2 linked regions of the Canis lupus familiaris genome follow. The main gene of each other region encodes a partner of the protein of the gene in region 2 in a complex. Links are inferred from orthologs where the notes say so. Each region holds a gene or a part of one and is shown on either strand. Other genes may lie near its edges.

Region 1 (11,128 bases), on a different chromosome or scaffold from region 2:
GGAAGCCGTTTGTTTGATGACATGACCTGTGACTTAAAATGTGTTTTTTTCCAGAGATAGGAAGGGAGTATAAATGGATTTTCATTGACATCTCTTTTAAATGAATTTGTAATAAAGGATTTCACAAGTTAGCACCATTTCCATATACAAATGGAACTGTAAAACTGTAAGCCTTGGAGAAAAGAAACTATGTGTTGTATTTCTTGAGTATATTACATTAGGCATCTAGCATATATAATAAAAATTATTTATTATGGTTAAATTGACTTGCCAAAGGAGCAAGAAACATTTGCATTGTTAAGGCAGGACCTGGGAAGATGGAAGTGAGTAATCCAGGCTTCGCTAAAGAAACAATGAAGCCAAGCCTCTCCTAGTGACAAAAGCATGAAATGATCCTAACTAGGGTCTTTCTTAGTCAAAAGGGAAATAACCCAGGGTAGTCGATAGAGTGCACATTGGCCTGAAAAACAGATTTGAGTGAACCGGATCAGAAATATGTGAAATTTTCAGCTACAAAGGCCCAGCCTTCCATGCATCTCACATATGGGCAACGCTTCCAGATACACAGTTACAGGAACGTGTATTCACCGTCACAGATATGGCAAAGGAATTGGGCAAGACATCATGGGATTTGTTAAATGGGAAATGATGGCACTGGATGAATGGAAGGGAGCAATGAGAGCCAGAGGAAGGGGACAGGGAAGTGTTACAGTTGGAAGAAGTGGAAACAAAGGGTTAAGAATACAGCAGGCCATTTTTTAAGTGACATTTTGGGTTGTACTAAGCACAGTTCTTAGAATTAAGAGCGCGGTGTCAGTTACTATCACTCACCTCTTTCAAGATTCATATACAACAATTGACTTTTTTTTTCCTAAGGATGATGTTTAGGACTCTAAGAATTCTGTTGTTAGAAAATACATGATGGTGATTTTTTTTTAAATGTCACTTTACCCCCCCCCCAAAAAAAAAGAAAAAAGAAAAGAAAAAAGAAAAATAAATAAATGTCACTTTACCTAAATCCACTGTGAAGAAATGGCTAAAAAACAAATCCCAGTAGAAGAAATTAAATTTTATTTCTCAAACTACCTCAAGCATCAACTATTCACTGTCTTCCTTGCCTACCCTTAAGAACTAGGGATTTGCGGTGAATGTGATCTACATAATCAAATCCACAATGTTAACATAAATATAATGCCCTCTGAAAATGTTCCATTATAGCTACTCTTTTACACCGCAGACATTTTAACTTTTTTTTTAACCAAATACTAAACCAGGGCGGAACAAAAGCCCTGTTATATTTGACAACCTAAGAAAGATTGTATGACACTGAGAACCCTGCCACATACAAGACTGGCAAGAAGTGCATGGAAAAATGGCTCGATGGATGGAAAGTGGAATTGGCCTTAAACATCAGTAATGAAGAACAGCTTTCCAAAGGCAGGCTGTGGCCCAAATCCCACTCAGGCCAGTTGGCTCTGGACGGAAAAGAGCCGACCCAGCTCATAAAGAGAAGATCCATATCTGAATATTACTTTACCACAGAGCGATGGCATGGCATCGTGCCAAGAAGAGACAAAAGTTCTTCTGATTATTCATTAGAATGGCAGCCTTAACCTTTTGAAGAAGTCCCATTCAGCATCCAAGCAGTGAACAGCACAGTTGGAGAGCCCTGACTCCCCCGGGGCTCCTTACACTAGACTTCAGCGCACTCAGGTGTAGACCATGCTTGCGCTCTGGTCACCCTGGGCACTCTCAATGTGAACAGTACCTTCAGGAGAGAAGTAAGGACAACTCTCCATATCCCTATGCCACCATACTAAAAGCATAAATGGAGGGACACCTGGGTGGCTCAGAGATTGGGCATCTGCCTTTGGCTCAGGTCGTGACCTGGGGGGTTCTGGGATCCAGTCCCACATGGGGCTCCCCGCAGGGAGCCTGCTTCTCCTTCTGCCTGCATCTCTGCATCTCTCCCTGTGTCTCTTATGAATAATAAAAAAAAAAATCTTAAAAAAAAAAAACCATAGTGGAGAACTTTAAGGTGTGTTCCAACTTCTGGGCCTACATTAGCCATTAGGTAACCACATTTTGAGTAAGCCAACTAAACTCAGTCTCCTGAGAAAATTTTGAAGAGTGATTAAAAAAAAAAAAAAAACCCCACAGATCAGAAAACGGGATCAGAATCCATGGGGAGAGATCACTTAAATGAGAAAACAAGAGTATCTTCAAAGGGGGGAAAAAAGCATTTATAGCTAAAACAGTTCATTTCTAAGATTGATTTTATTGATAAAAGCAATTAAACTATTTGGGGACCTTATTTCTTTCAGGATATTTCCAATGATCAAGTTTCATGGATATTCAAACAAGGCCACTGATTTTAATAGTTACAAAGAAAAATGCCTAAAAAAAATGTGCATCCTGCTACATATTGCTATATGTAAAGACCAAATAAGGTGCATTGAAGCTCTCAATAAATTTGCAAATTTATTACAACAAATATAGGAAACCACAGAACTATGTATTATTATATAATATGTACATATGTTACTCTATATACTATTAAATTTTTCTCATCTCCTGTAATACCTCATTTAAACATCAGGTAATACAAGTTATCTACTAATGGGACATTAACTGGGCATTAGCACAGCTCTGGCTTGTGTAAATACAACGCGGGGCACCTGTGTGGCACCACTGGTTAAGCAACCCCACTTGGTTTCAGTTCGGGTCCTGATCTCAGGATCCTGGGAACAAGCCCTGCACAGTACTCCATGCTCAGCGCAGAATCTGCTTATGACTCTCTCTCTCCCCTCCCTCTGACCCTTGCTCTAATAAATAAATCTTAAAAAAAAAAAAAGAAAAAAAAAAGAAAAAAATACAATGCAGTTGTATCCACAAGTGACCAGCTGAAATAGAGCACCCACTGTAAGCCTACTGTAAGGCTTCAGGTGGGCATCCCTCACTGGTTTCACTCATGGGAAGAAAACTGTCCTAAAGGAAGGGGGCCCTCCTCCCTCCCTCCTCCTTGCCCCCCTCACCACCTGGGTGAAGAAAAGATTCCCAGGGGGAGAAAAGATCACCTTCGGAAGATGTAAAGCACAGTTGGAGAACTCACAGCACAAGTTTCTTAAAGCACAGAATAATAGCCATAGGGTGTTTGGGTTTTTTGTTTGTTTTGTTTTTGTTTTTGTTTTTGAATAAAATTTTAAAAAGTCTCATCCTCTGGTTTCAATGAGGAAGTATCACCGATCTAACATCTAACGTATCTCACATCTCAAAAGGGGAAAGGAGCTAACACCCACTCTAATTTCCTCTGAATGTAACTGGACTTTGTAAGTAATGTAAAGTGATTTTTTTTTAACGATTTGGCCCCTAAGGTGAATAATTTATTTAAAAAGGCACCTAATGAAGATGGAAAATCCATGCTTGGTCTTCTGGGCTGGGAGACACTTCTTTTGTTTCACTACCACTACCCGGGAGGATCTCCACGTATCCATCATCCCCAGTGACCCAGGGGGCCAAGTGGGCTTTCCTGTTTCACCAACTTGACGTTGGCCTGGGATCCTGAAATTGCTTCATGAGGGGTTTGGGGCGGGGGATCCCAAAGCTCTTCTTGGCCGGCCCTCGGTCTCCTCCCAGGTCCGCCGCTCCAACACGCACAGGCACACGCGCGCGCACACACGCACACGCACACACCACCTGCCTCAAGCTGCTCAAGCAACGAGCTATCGAGGTGAAAGGGGAAGAGGGGAACGTCCCCGCCGCCCCCACGGTCCGCTCCTCCTCTCCCCGGAGCCACCGCAGCCTCTAGTTTTCCAGGGCATCCCCACGCACTGGCGGGGCGGCCGCGGTTGGCCTAGGTCACGGGGGCTCACCGCGCAGAAACCAGGTGTGTGTGTGTGTGTGTGTGTGTGTGTGTGTGTGTTAAGGGGCATGATGTGCGTCCTCCAAGAGGAAGCGTTCTATTTTGTAGGACAAGTAGGGAAGCAGTCGAATGCATTCCGTGCTTTAAAAAAAAAAAAGAAAAGAAAGAAAGAAAAAGAAAAAAGGTCAACCTATGAAAAACCTCAACTCCGACTGGGCATCCGGCAAATTAGCGGTGAACATTCCACCCCCTACCTTCAGGCGCGGGAGCCCCGAAGTTCGAGCGCGGGCGGCCCTCAAAGTCGGCGTTCGAAGCGCAGACGGGCTTAAGGTGCGCCTTTTAAACTTCGGTTGCGGCCACCTGCCTGCAGAGCCGTTCCGGGGCCGGCGGGCAGCCCGGGGAGCGCTTCTCCACGTCGACCCCTACATCCCCCCTGGCCCCCGGCCCGCACCCACAAGGGCCAGCGCGGTGGGCGCAGCCCGCAAGCCCAGGAGAGAGGACGGGGGGCTGCCCCCGGGGCGCCCCCCACCCCGCGCAGCCCCAGACGCCCCTCCGCCCCGGGCAGCGCAAGGTGCAGATGCTCGCGGGCCGGAACAAAAGCCGCCCCCACCCACCGCCTCCCGGCACCCTGACCCCCCCGGACCGCCACCCTGCACCCCACGCCCCGCGATGCCTCCGCCGGCCCCGGGGCGCCCCCCACCCCGCGCAGCCCCAGACACCCCTCCGCCCCGGGCAGCGCAAGGTGTAGATGCTCGCGGGCCGGGACAAAAGCCGCCCCCACCTACCGCTTCCCGGCACCCTGAGCCCCCCCCCTCCGCACCACCACCCTGCACCCCACGCCTGGCTGATGCCTCCGCCGGCCCCAGGGCGCCCCCCACCCCGCGCAGCCCCAGACACCCCTCCGCCCGGGGCAACGCAAGGTGTAGATGCTCGCGGGCCAGGACAAAAGCCGCCCCCACCCACCGCCTCCGGGCACCCTGACCCCTCCGGACCGCCACCCTGCACCCCACGCCCGGCTGATGCCTCCGCCGGCCCCGGGGCGCCCCCCACCCCGCGCAGCCCCAGACACCCCTCCGCCCCGGGCAGCGCAAGGTGTAGATGCTCGCGGGCCGGGACAAAAGCCGCCCCCACCCACCGCCTCCCGGCACCCTGACCCCCCCCGACCGCCACCCTGCACCCCACGCCCGGCTGATGCCTCCGCCGGCCCCGGGGCGCAGGAGCTTCGGAGGCACCCCCGCCCCCGCCCCCGCCCGGGTCGCCCACTCCGCCGCCGGCCACTTACTCGGCGTCGCGCGCTCGGGCCGCCTGGGTTGCGCGGGGCGAGGCCGGGCGCTCGGTGGGCTGCCGGGGGCCGCGCCCGCTCGGCCGCTGCTGCGCTCGGCGGCTCCCTGCGGGGCTGGGGGGACGGCCAGGCGGGGACCCCGAGCCGCCTCGGCCTCCGCTGCGCGCCGCCGGGAGGGAGCGGAAGGCGACTGGGGAAAGGGAGGGGGCGCGGCGGGCAGGGCGCGGACGCGGAGGCCGAGGGAGGGAGCGCGCCCGGGGCTCGCGAGCTGATTGGGAAGCTCGTTCCAGCCCCGAGCCGCCGGGGCCCCCGGACCAACCACCGCTCCCCGTGGGGCGGGGACGCACACCGCGTTCCCTTTGCAAACTTTATGCCCGAGCCGTGCTGCTCTAGGTGCGCGCACCCCACGGCTTGAGAGGCAGGAGCGCCCAAATGCACAGCTGATAGCAATTTAGGAGACACTTGGAGCCCCAGACTTATTTTTTTTTTTTAAGCTATATTTGAGATGAAAAAACCCCGTCTTCCAAGGCAGCGTCTCCTCCCCTCTCCCCACCCCGCGCGCGCGAGCACCCGCCCCTGCCCCTGCACCCTGCTCCACGGACATCAGCTGTCAGCCGCGTCCCACCTGCGCCATCGCAAGTGTGCGAAGTCCTCCCTGGCGCTGGTCACCAAGAGTGACAGATGTCTGAAGGTTACCAATTAAATGCCATTTCGCTTTAGGGAGCTCTTTACACTTTTTTTTTTTTTTTTTTTTTTTTTTTTTTTTTTGCCTTTAGTGACCTTTAGTGACATGCCTTCTTTGACACCCAAGAGTTGAGAGGCTTAATCAGTGTGGCTCCAACTCTGGTCCTTGGTACAACTGAGGCTGGGCGGCGTGGCGTTCGGGATTCCCATTATGTTTCATTGAGAACCGATGCTAAGGCAGTCAACACATGGAGGGGTGTTTGGATGACATATGGATGGATATCTATGACACCAAGGACATAAAAGTATTGCATAAAATAATAGTGACGTATAAGACGACTTTCCCCAAACATATCAAAAAGCACATTCTGAGATTTTTTTTTTCTGCTCCTCATCAGAGTTCTTGCCGGCCTCGAGTCTTCCTCTTTTTACTTTTCAGTTTCTCATTCCATGGCATCCACAAATGGTCGCAAAATATACTTCCATTTCCACTTCCTAAGGTTACGTTCCTTCTCTTCAGTTTGATAAATATCTATTATGTGCCTTATATAACTCTTAAAATTTACATCTGCTTAGAACCCTACCCCAACCTCCACCACCCCCCCCCCCACCACCACCACCAATTAGAAGCATTGTTTTGTGGCAGGTAGTTCTGAGAACTCTGGGCTTGTATATTGAGTGCTACCTGGACAAATGTCCCATGAAAGTGCCAGCCAGGGACAAAGAGGTGTCTCTACAAGTAGACCTTTTAATCAATCAAGCAACCTTTTTTTTTTTTTTTCCAAAAGAGGAGGCATCCGAAATTCCCTTAGGAAACTCCAGTCTATCTCTGTACCCAAACTCTTCATCCACCTGCCACATACCATCCTAAAGCAGAAATAAAGGAACAAGGAGCTGTCTCCCCTCCACACACAGACTTCATGTTGCCTCTTTCCCTCTTGTGATTCCATTTTCCCAGTGATGAAGCTATGTTTGCTTTAGTGTGATTTTACCCATTAAGCTGCAGAGGAATGCACATTGTTCTTTATTATTTTTATTTTGCCAAGGCTCTTTCCTGAGACTTCTCAACAGTCACCGTTACTCCTGAAGCATAGTTGCTAGGCCTTTTAACAAGGAGTTACCCATTTTCTATTTCTTCCTAAATTTTATCTTAACATTTACAAGTGTCACATGTTGCTACCAGTTATTACGATGCTTATCGACAGGGTTGATGACATAAGCATGAGATCCCCATGATTTCCACTCCATTGCATGTATCATATCAAAAATATACTTTATCCAAGTAGGAATATGTGAGCATTATTTATATCAGTGGTCCTCAACCAGGAGCAGTGTCACCCTCCAGGTGACATTCGACAACGTCTAAGACATTTTTGGTTGTCACAGCTTCGGGAGGCGTTTGCCACTGGCACCTGCTAAGTAGAGGCCGAAGATGCTGCTAATCATCCTATGATGCACAGAACAGCCCCCACAACAAAAAAAATTATTTGTCCCAAAATGTTAATAGTGCTGTGATTATGAAACCCTATATTATTAACTATTGTATTTTTAAATATAATGGAAGGAGTGCCTGGGTGACTTAGTTGGTTAGGGATCTGCCTTAGGCCCAGGTCATGATCCCAGGGTCCTGGGAATGAGCCCCCCATCAGGCTTCCTGCTCAGCTGAGAGCCTGCTTCACCCTCTTCTGCTGCTGCTCCCCCTGCTTGTGCTCTCTCTCTCTCTCTGTCTGTCAAATAAATAAACAAAATCTTTAATACATACATATGATAATTAAGGAGGTTTTCTTAAGGAATGGCAATCTCTGAGGTTGAGACTATTCATAATTTACTTCACCCCAGCATTTACACTAAAATTCAAGTAGAAGATATTTTGAACTGTACTCCAAAGTGTTCACCTCCAAATCCAACCTTCATTCTGCTGCCTCATCACAGGCGTGCTGATTCAAGATTTCAATTCATTCTGTTCATTTAGCTGACATTCTTTGAAGACTCAAGTTTTTGAGTGAATAGAGCCATGAACAAAAACAGATGAAAATTCCTACTGCGCTACAGCTTAAATTTTTTATTACATAAATAAACTTAATTAACCAATTAATTAAATTTTAAAAAGATGTGAGGATTGCCATGGGTAAAAATAAATAAATAAAATAAAGACAATGAAGGAAGATAAAGTCACCAATTCAGGGGAGGAAAATCTCCCTGGGTGAAATTTGAGTGAAAACATTGCAGAATTGAGGGAGTTGGCCAAGTAAATATTTTGGAAGATACTCACCAGGTAAAGGAGTCAGTCAGTGCAAAGGGCCTGAGGTCTGATCTTGCCCCAGGTGTTAGAGGACCGGAAGGAAGCCACTGTGGCGGGAACTCAGTGAGCGGAGATAGGCATCTAGGCTAGGCAAGTAATGGGCCAGATCATGCATGGCCTTTGTCTAATGTTAGGAATTCTACTTTTGCTCTAAATGAGGTGGGAAGCCATTAAGAGTGACAAATTCTGACTGATTTACTATGGCCTCTCTGTGTTGAATAGACCACGGGTGGTCAAGGATGGAAGCAGAGGTCCCAGATAGGATGCTACTGTAGTAATCCACTATCCAAACTTCTTCACCCTGTGTCTTGGGAAAAATAACTAACTGCAAACACCCATTCACACTTTCTCTGCACCCAGACATCGCCCCCCCCCCCCCCCCCCCCCCCGTGTTTGCTCTGGCTTGCTGATGCTCACCCTCCCTGCTACTGGCCAGCCTCTGCATGAGAGCTACCAGGCTAAAATATAACCAATGTAAGACGATCTGAAACCATAGAAATTATAACATGTCCTAAGGGTGATCTGAAAATGAGGCCACTGATTTTGCAGTGACAAATACAGGAAGTGTGATCAGCATGGAGCAAAAAAATGTGAAGGAACTGGATGAAAAATTTGTCAGGTGTCTCTCGGATTACCTACTTGGCAGGGTGTTTAGGTTCTTGATTACCATTCCGAGTGCTGCAATCTCCCTAGAATGGAGAAAAAGAACGATCCATCAGGCTCATGCAGTTTGATGGGAGTCCCGGTAATATACTTCTCTTTCTCTCTCTGAAATATTCCAAAGGTAATAAAACTTTATTTTTTGGTTAACTGTAATGAAATTACAAAACTTCTGTATCAATATTTTTGATAATGCCCATGCTACTTGATTAGAAAAAAACACACACACAGAAAACTCAACTAAAATGGCTTACATATTTTGGGATTTTATCTCAATAAGACTGGTTGGTAAAAAAAAAAAAAAAAAAAAAAACAAAGACTGGTTGGTAAAGTCAGTGTTTTGAAGTCTTCAAGGACCCAGGTGTTTTCATCTTTTGAATCTGCATCTTCAATCCATGAGCTAAGGGTTTTCAGTGTGGTTGTGAAGAGCTTCAGGCATATTTGATTTAAAGAAAATAAGGCAGGAGGGTGGGGGAGGGGGGCAGGAATGGTATAACTGGGTGAGAGGGGACATTAAGGAGGGCATGTGATGGAATGAGCACTGGGTGTCATGTGCAACTGATGAATCACTAAATTCTACCCCCTGAAACTAATAATGCGCTATATGTCAACTAAATTAAGTTTAAATAAAAAAATTTTTAAAGAAAAGTAATTAGGCCCAAACCCCAGTAGAGAATGGATCCAGCCGCCTAGTCACGTGGCCACACAGACTGCACCAGCAAAAGGAAGAGGAACAGATCTGGGGAGCAACCAGCAATGCTTATAAATTTTATGAATTATACTTTTATCAGTCAAGCTGTTGTGAATCTTAGTAGCTTGACTTAAGCACCTCAATCTTGTCTTTCTCAGCAAGAGCTGCTAAAATATCAAGGTTCTAAACTGGGAAAGCTGAGGAACAGGCCTTGGGCCTTATCCACACTTACCCAGCAAATCAGGCCTGAAATACCCAAAAGAGTTTTTGAGCACAAGATTTACAAGAAACTAAATCTATAGGCCAATATTCCTTGGAAAAATAAATGTGGAAGCCCTTAAAACATATCATCAAATGAATGCCAGTAGTGTATAAAAAAATAAGATTGTATATCCAAATTGGATGTTTACCCCTGAAAAACAATTTTGGTTTTACATGTGAAAATCAAATAGCATAATTCACTATATTAGTGGAATCGTTAGAGGAATAAAAAGCACATTTACGTTATAGAGGGAAAAACATTTGAAAACATTCAACACTCATTCATGATAAAAATTCTCACCCACTTAAGAATATAACTGAATATCCTTGTTCTGATCAGACCTATCTGCAGAAAGCCCCCAGCTACTGAGACACTTACTAGTGAAAGTGAACGCTTTCCATCAAAGACTAGGAACAAAGCAAAAATTATGATTGCTGTAATTTTTATTGGAGATTGTGCTGGAGATCTTAGCCAGTAAAATAAGGCCAGGAAAAAAGAAATAAAAATAATGGAAAGAGGTACAACTATTTCTATTCTCATGTGGCATGTGTGTATATACATAGAAAATTGTCAGTAATTCACAGAGAAGCTTCTAGAACTAAGTGCCCTTAGCTAGATACAAGTTCCAAGGATAAAAATCAATTTTATTTCTATATCTAGCAAATAGCCACTGGAAAAATAAAGAGTAAAAAACATATCTCAAAAGCATGAACAAGTAGTGAGATAAGTTTAGGAAAACATGTCTAAGGCTTGGGCACTGAAAAACACCAAACATTTCTGATGGAAGCCAAGGAACACAGAAATAAGTGGGAGAGATTCATTATGCTCACCAATCTGAAATTTTAAGACTTTTAAGATGTAAATTCCCTCCATATTTATCTACAGGTTCAGTTAATCCAAATCAAATGCCAATAGATTTTCTAATAGATATTGACAAACTGGTACCAAAATTTCTATGGCTGTACAAAGGATCTCAAAGGAGCAAAACATTTTTAAAATAAAGAATAAAGTTGATATCAAATCCCAGTATAAAGCAATACTAATTAAGATTACTGTGCAATACTGGCATAAAGATAGACTTTTAGATCAATGGAGAACAAAACCATCAATTCACAAATAGACCCAAACATATTTCATGGGGAAAAGATCGTCATTCCAACAACTGGTCCCCAAAGAACTGAATATTCATGTGGAAAAAATAAATTTCAAAAGTGTAGAGTAAAACAAACTCAAGATGGATTGTGGACTAAATGCAAAAGCAAAGGCTATAAAGTTTCTAGAGAAAATAATAGGAGAAAATCTTTGTTACCTTGGAGTAGGCAAAAGTTTCTTAGATAAAATACGAAGAACACATAAATTGTTATTAAAACATTGGTAATTTGAAT
Region 2 (11,028 bases):
TCAACCACCAATATTGATAGCAATGAAAATAACCTTTCCTCTCCCTGGTCTCCTCTACATCTTATGCTGTTTCTCCTTTCCTTCATCATCAAACTTTTCAAAAGAGTTCTCTCTTCTTGTTTCCATTTCCCCCATATTACCATTCTTCACCCTCTGACATGTGTCTTCTCTCCAACCTCTTGCAAATGGCATTTGTGACTTCCTAAATGCCAAATCTCTGTTCTGTCCTCATGTTTACTGACTTTTCTGATGTGACTTACAGATCATCTCTTCCTTCTCCAAACACCTAGATTTCTCCCCTCCTCTCTCTTCCCCTCCCTTCCCCCCTTATTTCCTTCCTCTCCCTTCCCTTCCCTTCTTCTTGCTTCTCCTGCTGCCAAGGGCTTCTGGTAAACTTCATCTCCAGGCAGTCTCCCTCTGCCTTCCTTGCATGTGTAGGGGTACTAGGTTACGGCTTCTATTCTTGTCCAAGTGTTCTTCCAGGCCAATTGCATTCAGTTCTGTGGCTTCAGCTCTTAGCCCCTCTTTAGTGTTCACTCTCAGCATTCAATACTTTTCTTTTAAAAAACATTTTCCGTTCTTATATTCACAAATATATACATATTTATAGTCTTCACTTTGTGCCACAAATGATAGCGTGTTGTACACATTTGATTCTTTTCATTTAACCTATCTTTGAGATTTTCAAAGATTTCTCTGGTTAATTTTCTTTGTATATTTTCCATATAAATGTTAGAGTCTGCTTATCTGTTTTTAAAAAACTAATACTTTTTTGGGGGGGTAATTTTACTTTTTCAAAGATCATACAATAAAATTGGCCTTTATTCGTTTAGTGTACAATTCCATGAATTTTAAGATATGTATATAGATTTTCATTAAAAAAACCAACATGAACATGGGGTGCCTGGCTGGCTCAGTTGGAAGAGCATGTGACTCTTGATCTTCAGATTGTGAGTCCCAGCCCCACATTGGTTGTAGAGATTACTTAAAAATAAAACCTTATAAAAAATCCAACATGAACAGAATGCAATAGTTCTATTACTCCCCTAAAAAGTCCTTTATGCTATCTTTTTATAGTTAGTTGCCTTCTCCCCATCCATCCTAGTCCCTGGCACTTACTAATCTGTTCTTCATCACAATATAGTTTGTCCTTTCAAGAAGCTACATAAATGGAATTACAACCCTTTGAGATTGGCTTCTTTCACTAGTATGAGGTATTTGCAATTCATCTGTGTTGTTATGTATATCAGTAGTTCTTTCCTTTTTTATTGCTAAATAGTATTCCATTGCATAGATTTACTAGTCCCAGTCACAAGTTCATCTGATCACACATTGAAGGATGTTTGGGTTGTTTCCAATGTTTGGCAATCATGAATGGAGTGGCTAGAAACTTTTCATTGCTACAGCAATCTTTCTAAATACAGAAAACAATCATCTCACTTCCTTTTCTAAGAAAACTTCAGTGGCTATTCACTGCCTAAGGGATAAAGTCAAACTTCTTTTTTGGGATAGAGAGGTCCTTCCCAACTGTCCTTTGCTTAATGACATAGGCTCATCTCCATTCCCATCACACAGATTTATCCTAGTAGTGTCATTTCTGTCCCTCAATTCTGTGGAAGGATTTTAGGTTCATCTCCTTTGTATCAGTCAGGGTTTTGACTGGAATAAATGCTTCACCCCAGTTAGAATAATTTGAGAAGGATTTATTAACAAAGGGACTAATTTTATTTGATAGAGTCTTAGGGAGCCACAGTGGATGATCCAGGAATCCAGGGCAAGGAGCAGCAGAGCTGTTACCATTCTTAGGCTGATTGGACAAGGAGAGGGAAGAGTAACCAGAATTCAGAAAGAGAGAGAGTTCTCTGGAGTGTGCTTCCTTGAGAGGAGCAGTGATCTTCCATTGAGAGACACAGCTGGCCCAAAGCAACCTTCCAGGGCAGGAGTAAGAGGAAAATACTCTGATCATACTCTTCTACCTGTCTCTAATCTTCTGTTAAGGCTCCTAATTGGGCAAACCCAAGTAGAAACCAGAAGGCAAAGGAACCCAAAATACATGTGATCCATGTAGGCTGACTTGCTAGGCTGCAGATCAGATTGGAGGAGGGTAGAAGGTGGATTTGGGGCTGGGGACAGAAGGAAGGAGGACATCCAGTATATTGTTATATGTGCTATTCCTTTTTTTCCCATAATTTCTTTCTCCCTTTATATTTATGGCAAATTATTTCTCATTCTCAGAGTTAATTCTGATATCTCTACTTTTCCTGACTTCCTTGGGCAGAATTAACTAAAATTTTCTATTACTTCATCCATATTTCAAATAGTATTAAATAATCAAATTTATTAAACAAATTTAAAAAAGTATTATAAAATGTTTAACTTTCTTTAGACTCAAGGTTTATTTTGCTCCCAAATTTTGCATATAATTGAACTTTTAAATATACTAACACCTGCTGAATTGATTCCACTTTGGATTCTAAGGCATCAGTTTCTTCATGAAAATTTTTCTTTGTTTCTTCTAACATTTCTTGTGTTTATTCTTGTGACTGGCTAATGAAAACATCACCAATTTGATAAGGTATCATTAAGCAGTAGTCATCTATCTGCAAGCATGATGTCCTTAAAAGCATCTCTAAATTTTGTAGTTGTTTCTTTTTTACGACTATTTCTTCCTTCAGCTCTGTGATTCTACTTGTATTCCATGAAAATTTGTTTATCTTTTGTCGATCTTCAAAAGTAAAATTGGCATTTTCTGCAAATGTCTTCTGCATGGCAGCTGACATCTTGGGACTATGTCCATATTTTTATTAAACTTGGAACATGGGTTGCATATTATTTCCCTTTTATTTTTACTGCTTAGCAAAGAGCTAACATGCAAAAAATGAACCCCTGTCTCTGGTGCTTAATTAGTTCATGTTCTTTCTTTTGTTCCCAAAGAATGTCCTCGGCAGGACAGTGATATTGCTTTCTTGATTGATGGCTCTGGTAGCATCAACCCGACTGACTTTCAGCGGATGAAGGAGTTTGTCTCAACTGTGATGGATCAATTCAAGAATTCCAAAACCTTGGTGAGGGCAAATGGATGGGTTAGGAAATAGCTCATGCAAGGCTGGCAAATACAGGGCAACCAGGCAGGCTGCCACTTTCCCCTTTTACTTCTATCGCAGATGTTGCCAAATTGCCAATTGATCATGGTTTTCTTTCATGATTCTCTTTCCTGCTCTGGAATCAGCCTCAGCTTCTTCCAATGCTCTATGAAGCAGGCAGCTTTAACTAATTGATAAGGGTTGGAGTGGGAGATAAAATCCACATCTAATCTCTGGCTGAGTTCTAGTACTTAGAAATGGGAGCTGATGGCAGATCTCTGTCCTGGTGAGGCAAAAAGATTGGGGACAGTGTAGAATTTGGAGGGATTTGGAGACTGGAATGTTTCAATATTTATCTAGGGCCTCCTGGGAGATGGGTAAATGTGAGGAGGGTCATCTTCTCCAGTGTAATACCAGATGCCTGTTCCCAGTTTTCTTTGATGCAGTTCTCTGAAGACTTCCAAATTCATTTTACCTTCAATGAGTTCAAGAAAAATCCTAAGCCATCATTTCTGGTGAAGTCAATAAAACAGCTGTTGGGGAGGACACACACTGCCACAGGAATCCGCAAAGTAGTGTAAGCTCTTTGTTTAGGATGGGGAGGAGGTGATATTTTTTTGTTGGGATTTGAAGAATGCAGAGGGAACACAGACAGGGATGGGATAAAGGACATGAATAAAGGTGTGGAGGAGGGACTCTGCATGGTGTGCTCATGAAATATAAGTTGTAAGTAAAGGTAGGAGTGAAGGGGATATGTGAGGGTGAGGCTAGAGGGAGGCTACAGAGATCATTTGAGGCCAGGTCACTTAAGGCAACTGAAAAGCTAGTGGGGATTCACTGAATGTTTTAAGCAATGAGGAGATGTTACCATATCTTCTTTTGGAACTTCAGTCTGATGTGTGTGTGTGTGTGTGTGTGTGTGTGTGTGTGTAGAGGTGAGGGTGAGGGTTGGGACAAAAGTGCAGGAGCATGAGCTAGAGAGCTGTAGCATCAAACCAGGAAAGGTTTGCAAGGGTTCAATTAAGCTTAAAGATTTGTTTTAATTTAAAAGGAATAATAGTTAAGAAAAATAAATCAATGCAAAAGTATTTAAAGGCAGTGAAGATTTCCTTTCCTTCCACTCTTCTCCCTTCTTCTGTGTCTTTCTGGGTCTTGTGGTAGCCACATCTCAGTGTTCATTCCAGGGGATCCCAAACCCCTCCTGGCTGCATCAGTCTGTGACTCTTGACATTTCCTCCCTAGCATTAAGATGATCTCTGTCTATTCACATTTGACTTTTCTTTCCTCTTCCCTGGACAGAAGAGAACTGTTTCACAGCAGCAGTGGAGCCCGGGAGAATGCCCTTAAGATCCTAGTTGTCATTACAGATGGAGAAAAGTATGGTGATCCCTTGGATTACAAGGATGTCATCCCTGAAGCAGACAGAGAGGGGATCATTCGCTATGTCATTGGGGTAGGAAATGTGGCTCTCTGGGCTGATGCTTCTGTAGAGGGTTTCTGTTTGGATACACCCTCCCTTCACTTTGCAAATATCCCTAAAACCAGGGTGGGCAAAGGGCCACCGCCAGCCCATATGGGCCTATATCAGGCAACTGCTGTTACAATGATGCTATGTAACAGATTATTTCAGAATTCAGTCTTTAAAACAATAAATGAGTCTGTAGTACATCTGGGCAATTTTTCTGGTTTTGACTGGCTCACTCTTATATCTGTAATCATTTGAAGGTTGGTTGGCAGCTCTGGTAATCTTGGCTGAACTCTCTCCATTTCTGAGGGTTGCCAGTTGTGTCTGTTTGCTGGACCGGAATGGCGGGAATAACTGGGGTAACTTGGCTCTTCGGATCCCTGTGTCATCCTCCAATGGGCTAGCCTGGGCATGTCTTCATGGTGAAGGCAGAGGAACAAAAGAGCAAATGGAAATGTTGCAAGTACTTTTTAAAGCCTCTGTCTGCATCGTGTATGATAACATCTACTAATCAATGGATATTAGCAAGACACATGGCTGCACCCAGAGACATAAGCAGGGCAGATTACTCTGCCATGAGTAAGAGGATACAGCAAAGTTTTGGAGGAAAGGGCTTGGATTTAGGAAGGGGTAAAGAGTTGGGATCATCAGTGTAATCCAACTCCCACAGTACCTTATATGACATAGAAAAAGATATCATCATGGGTGCATGACTTGGTAGGTAGGAAACCCCTTCATATAGAGGAAAAGGCTCCCTTTACGCTGGGGAGAGGTCAGACCCACATCAGGAGGCATGGCACAGCAAAGGAACCAAAGGCTGGACTTCAGCTCCTAATTACTCCCTTGACAGACTGCTCTGTGCCCTATCCCAGAGGCCTTCTGGTGTATTCCCTCATTTGACAAATATTGTTTCAGATTCTTTTCCTGCAGAATTTTCTTTGCTGGGTGACACTGCTACCCCCTGATGGTGTCTAATTTGGCTTCTATTCTTTGGTAACAGGTGGGAGATGCTTTCAACCATCTAAAAAATCGTGAAGAGCTTAACATCATTGCATCCAAGCCTCCTCGTGATCATGTGTTCCGGGTGAATAACTTTGAAGCTCTAAAGACCATTCAAAACCAGCTTCAGGAAAAGATCTTTGCAATTGAGGGTAAGTAAGTTAAGGTTCTGCATTCCTGCAGCAGGTCCAGAGGCAGCCCTGAATATGGATTTCTCCTCTAGAGACTAGAACCTCCTAACTCTTGGTATCCTGATTCTCAGCATCAACTCAACTCTCTCCTCTTCTAGTTCTCAGCAAATTTGGTCTCACTTGGTCATTCCCTTTGAAATCAAAAGATCTAGACTTTATTTTTACTTTGCAAACCTTGGCTATAGGCTGGAAAATTGGAGGGTAGGGGAGTCGGGCCTCACACAGTTTATTTCCAAGAATTTGGGTATGTTGCCAATGTTTGACTGTTGGATTCACTGCTGTATCTCCAGTGTCTAGAATAGTGCCTGGTACATTGTGGGTGCTCAATGAATATTTACTGATTACAATAATTTAAAAACTGAGGGGAGTTTCATATACAATCTGGATTTATGATTTCTCTTAAAAAATTGGAAGATTAGACTGCATTCCTATCTGGCAAAAAGCAGTTGGAGCCAAATAGCTACCAACTCTTTAAAAGAGGTATATGCTTTCTAATTCAACATAGCTCCCACCTGAGCCTCCTTTTGTTTGGTCATCATAGTACTTGAGTTCCAGCTCTTCCACTTTCTTTAATGTAGAAAGCTCTCCTCCTTACAGGTACTCAGACAGGAAGTAGCAGCTCCTTTGAACATGAGATGTCTCAGGAAGGCTTCAGTGCTGCCATCACTTCAGTAAGTGGTCCTTCATTAAATTGGGATTGGGTGAGAGGAAGTGGGAGAAGAGGTGTAAGGGTTTGGGGGCTCTTATTTGCAATGGGGACTTGTTGGGGAGCACTCCTTTGATGGGGAGCAGTGGTCCCTTTTCCCTATTAATTATGTTTTTTTCTTGATATATAATGGATATATGAATGATACTTCAGGTATACACCATAATGATTTGCTGTATGCATATATTGTGAAATGATCACCACAATAAGTCTAATCAATATTCATTACCACATATGTTACAAAATTTATTTTTCTTGTGATGAAAACTTTAGGATTTCTTTTCTTTTTTTAAGTTAAAAAATTTAAAAAATTATTTAAATTCGATTTAGTTAACATATATTGTATTATTAGTTTCAGGGGCAGAATTTAGTGATTCCTGGTTACATATAACACCCAGTGCTCATGACATCAAGTGCCCTACTTAATACCCATCATATAATTACCGCTTCGCCCCACCTACCTCTGCTTCAGCAACCCTCAGTTTGTTTCCTAGAGTTCAGTGTCTCATATGCTTTGCCTCTCTCTGTTTTCATTTTATTTTATTTTTCCTTCCCCTGAATTCATCTGTTTTGTTTCTTAAATCCCACATATGAGTGAAATCTTATGGTATTTGTCTTTCTCTGACTGACTTATTTTGCTTAGCATAATACCCTTTACTTCCATCCATGTCATTGCAAATGGCAAGATTTCATTCTTTTTGATAGCTGAGTCATATTCCATCATATATATTTAAATACACTACCTTCTTTATCCATTCATCTGTTGGTGGACATCTGGGCTCTTTTCATAATGCCAAGTGATGTTGAGCATTTTTTTTTTAATGTACCTGTTAGCCATCTGGGTGTCTTTTAAAAAGTGTCTATTCATGTCTTCTGCCTGTTTCTTGACTAGATTTTTTGTTTTTGTTTTTTGGTATTGAGCTTGGTTAAGTTCTTTATATATATTGGATACTAGCCCTTTATCTGATTAGACATTTGCAAATATCTTCTCCCATTCTGTAGATTGCTTTTTAGTTTTGTTGGCTGTTTCCTTTGCTGTGTGCAAAAGCTTTTCATTTTGATGAAGCCCCAATAGTTTATCTTTGCTTTTGTTTCTCTTGCCTTTGGAAACGTCTCTAGCAAGAAGTTGTGGCTAAGGTCAAAAGAGGTTGCTGTGTGTTCTCCTCTAGGATTTTGATGGATTTGTGTTTCACATTTAGGTCTTTCATCTATTTTTGAGTTTATCTTTGTGTATGGTGTAAGAAAAAGACTTAGTTTCATTCTTCTGCATGTGGCTGTCCAGTTTTCTCAACACCATTTGTCAAGGAGACTCTTCTTTTCCATTGGATATTCTTTCCTGTTTTGTCAAAGATTAGTTGACCATAGAGTCGAGGATTCATTTCTGAGTTCTCTCTTCTGTTCCATTGATCTATGTGTCTATTTTTGTGCTAGTACCCTACTGTCTTGATGATTACGGCTTTGTAATACAGCTTGAAGTCCAGATTGTATTGTCTCCAGCTGCAGTTTCTTTTTCAACATTCCTTTTGCTATTTGGGATCTTTTTTGGTTCCATACAAATTTTAGGATCATTTGTTCCAGCTCTATGAAAAATGCTGATGGTAGTTTGATAGGGATTGTGTTGAAGACGTAGATTGCTTTGGGTAGCATAGACATTTTTTTAAAAAATATTTATTTATTTATTCATGAGACACACACAGAGAGGGGGGGCGCAGAGGCAGAAGCAGGCTCCATGCAGGGAGCCTGACATGGGACTGGATCCTGGGTTTCCAGGATCCCACCCTGGGCTGAAGGTGGTGCTAAACTGCTGGGCCACCGGGGCTGCCTGCATAGACATTTTAACAATATTTCTTTTTCCAATTCAGGAGCATGGAATGTTTTTCCATTTCTATGTGCCTTCCTCAATTTCTTTCATAATTTTCTATAGTTTTCAGAGTACAGAGCCTTTCTTTACCTCTTAGGTTAGGTTTATTCCTAGGTATCTTACGGTTTTTGGTGGAATTGTAAAGGGGATTGATTCCTTGATTTCTCTTTCTTCTACCTCATTGTTAGTCTACAGAAATGCAAACGACTGCTGTGCATTGATTTTACATCTTGTGACTTTACTGAATTCCTGTGTCAGTTCTAGCACTTTTTGGTGGAGTCTTTTGGGTTTTCTACATAGAGTATTATGTTGTCTGTGAAGAGTGGAAGTTTGACTTCTTTGCTGATTTGGATGCCTTTTATTTCTTTATGTTGTCTGATTGCTGAGGCTATGACTTCCAGTACTGTGTTGAACAACAGTGATGAGAGTGGACATCCCTGTCGTGTTCCTCACCTTAGGGGAAAAATTCTGTTTTTCCCTGTTGAGGAAGATATTTTCTATGGGTCTTTCACATATACTCTTATGATGCTCAGGTATATTCCCTCTATCTCTACATGGTGGAGAGTTTTTATCAGGAAAGAATGCTGTATTTTTTCAAATACTTTTTCTGTATCAGTTGAGAGGATCATACGGTTTTTATCTTTTCTTTTGTTAATGTGATGTATTACATTGTTTGATTTATGGATGTTGAAGCACCCTTGTAGGGTGGTTGGTCGTGGTGAATAATCCTTTTAATGTACTGTTGGGTCATATTGGCTAGTTTCCTGGTGAGAATTTTGGCATCCATGTTCATCAGAGATACTGGTCTGTAATTCTCCTTTTTTGGTGGAATCTTTGTCTGGCTTGGGGATCAATGATGGCCTCATAGAATGAGTTTGGAAGTTTTCCTTCCATTTCTACATTTTGAAATAGTTTCAGAAGAATAGGTGCTAATTCTTCTTTAAATGTTTGGTAGAATTTTACTGGGCGGTCATTCAGCCCTGGACTCTTGCTTGTTGGGAGAGTTTTGATTACTGCTTCAATTTCTTTGCTGGTTATGGATCTGTTCGGTTTTCTATTTCTTCCTGTTTCAGTTTAGGTAGTTTATATGTTTTAGTCTTTTTTTTAAATTTTTTTTTTCATTTATTTATGATAGTCACAGAGAGAGAGAGAGAGAGGCAGAGACATAGGCAGAGGGAGAAGCAGGCTCCATGCACCGGGAGCCCGACGTGGGACTCGATCCCGGGTCTCCAGGATCGCGCCCCGGGCCAAAGGCAGGCGCCAAACCGCTGCGCCACCCAGGGATCCCTGTTTATATGTTTTTAGAAATGCATCCATTTCTTCCAGATTGCCTGACTTGTTGGCGTATAATTGCTCATAATATCCTCTTATGTTTGTCTTTCTGGGATGTTGGTTGTGATCTCTCCTCTTTCATTTATGTTTTTATTTATTAGGGTCCTTTCTCTTTTCTTTTTGATAAACTTGGCTAGAGGTTTATCAATATTACTAATTATTTTAAAGAACCAGCTCCTAGTTTTGTGGATCTGTTCTTTTTTTAAAGATTTTATTTATTTATTCATGAGAGACACAGAGAGAGAGCGAGAGGGAGGGATAGAGAGGCAAAGACACAAGCAGAGGGAGAAGCAGGCTCCATGCAGGGAGCCTGATGCAGGACTCGATCCTGGGACTCCAGGATCATGCTCTGGGCTGAAGGCAGGTGCTAAACTACTGAGCCACCCAGGGATCCTCTCATAGATCTGTTCTACTGTTTTTTTCCCCTATACCATTGATTTCTGCTCTAATTTTTATTATTTCTCTTCTACTGGATGTAGGCTTTATTTGCTGTTCTTTTTTGGCTCTTTTAGGTGTAAGGTTAGGTTGTGTATTTGAGACTTTTCTTGTTTCTTGAGGAAGACCTGTATTGCTATGTACTGCATCCCAAAAGTTCTGAACTGTTGTGTTTTCATTTTTATTTGCCTCCATGTATATTTTAAATTCCTCTTTAATTTCCTGGTTCACCCATTCATTCTTTAGTAGGATGCGCTTTAAACTCCATATATTTGTAGTCCTTTCAAAGTTTTTCTTGTTGTTGACTTCAGGTTTTAAAACACTGGTCTGAAAATATGAATGGTATAATTTCAGTCTTTTTGTATCATTTGAGACCTGATTTGTGACCCAATATGTGATCTATTCTGGAGAATGTTCCATGTGCACTCCAGAAGAATGTGTATTTTGCTGCTTTAGGATGAAATGCTCTGACTATATCTGTAAAGTCCATCTGGTCTAGTAGGTCATTCAAAGCCCTTGTTTCCTTGTTTATCTTCTGTCAGATTATCTGTCCATTGCTGTGAGTGAGGTGTTAAAATCTCCTACTATTATTGATTATTATCAACGTGTTTCAATTAATTTTGTTATTAATTGGTTTATATAGTTGGCTGCTCTGAAGTTCAGTTTGTAAATATTTACAATTGTTAGATCTTCTTGTTGGATAGACCCTTTTATTATGAAACAGTGTCCTTCTCCATCTCTTATTACAGTCTTTGGTTTAAAATCTAGTTTATCTGATACAAAGATTGCTACTCTAGCTTTCTTTTGACTTCCATTTGCATGATAGATGTCCACTTGTCCACTTTCAATTTGGAGGTGTCTTTGGGTCTAAAATGAGTCTTTTGTAATCAATATATTGATGAATCTTTTTAAAAATCCAATCTGGGATGCCTGCCTGGCTCAGCGGTTGAGCATCT

What was found.
Region 1: the proteins of ITGAM (region 2) and PTN are in contact, whole or in part, in an NMR structure (PDB 8VOH), measured with the Homo sapiens proteins. The link is inferred for Canis lupus familiaris from reciprocal best matches to the Homo sapiens genes ITGAM and PTN. Residues at the interface, in NP_000623.2 of Homo sapiens: Pro273, Asp276, Arg277, Gly279, Val280, Ile281, Arg282, Tyr283, Lys306, Pro307, Arg309, Asp310, His311, Ala334, Ile335, Glu336, Gly337, Thr338, Gln339; in NP_001308315.1 of Homo sapiens: Val56, Pro57, Thr58, Ser59, Asp61, Cys62, Gly63, Leu64, Thr66, Glu68, Thr79, Lys81, Thr82, Gln83, Arg84.

What each region holds. Positions count from the first base shown.
Region 1 is NC_049237.1:10,944,836-10,955,963, reverse strand, and holds the start of PTN (pleiotrophin), read right to left. Parts: upstream 5,322-11,128; 5' UTR 5,145-5,321; intron 4,192-5,144; exon of another isoform or gene 4,117-4,191; intron 1-4,116.
Region 2 is NC_049227.1:17,129,483-17,140,510, reverse strand, and holds part of ITGAM (integrin alpha-M), read left to right. Parts: intron 1-2,110; exon of another isoform or gene 2,111-2,804; intron 2,805-2,934; coding exon 2,935-3,065; intron 3,066-3,514; coding exon 3,515-3,660; intron 3,661-4,382; coding exon 4,383-4,536; intron 4,537-5,548; coding exon 5,549-5,699; intron 5,700-6,335; coding exon 6,336-6,409; intron 6,410-11,028.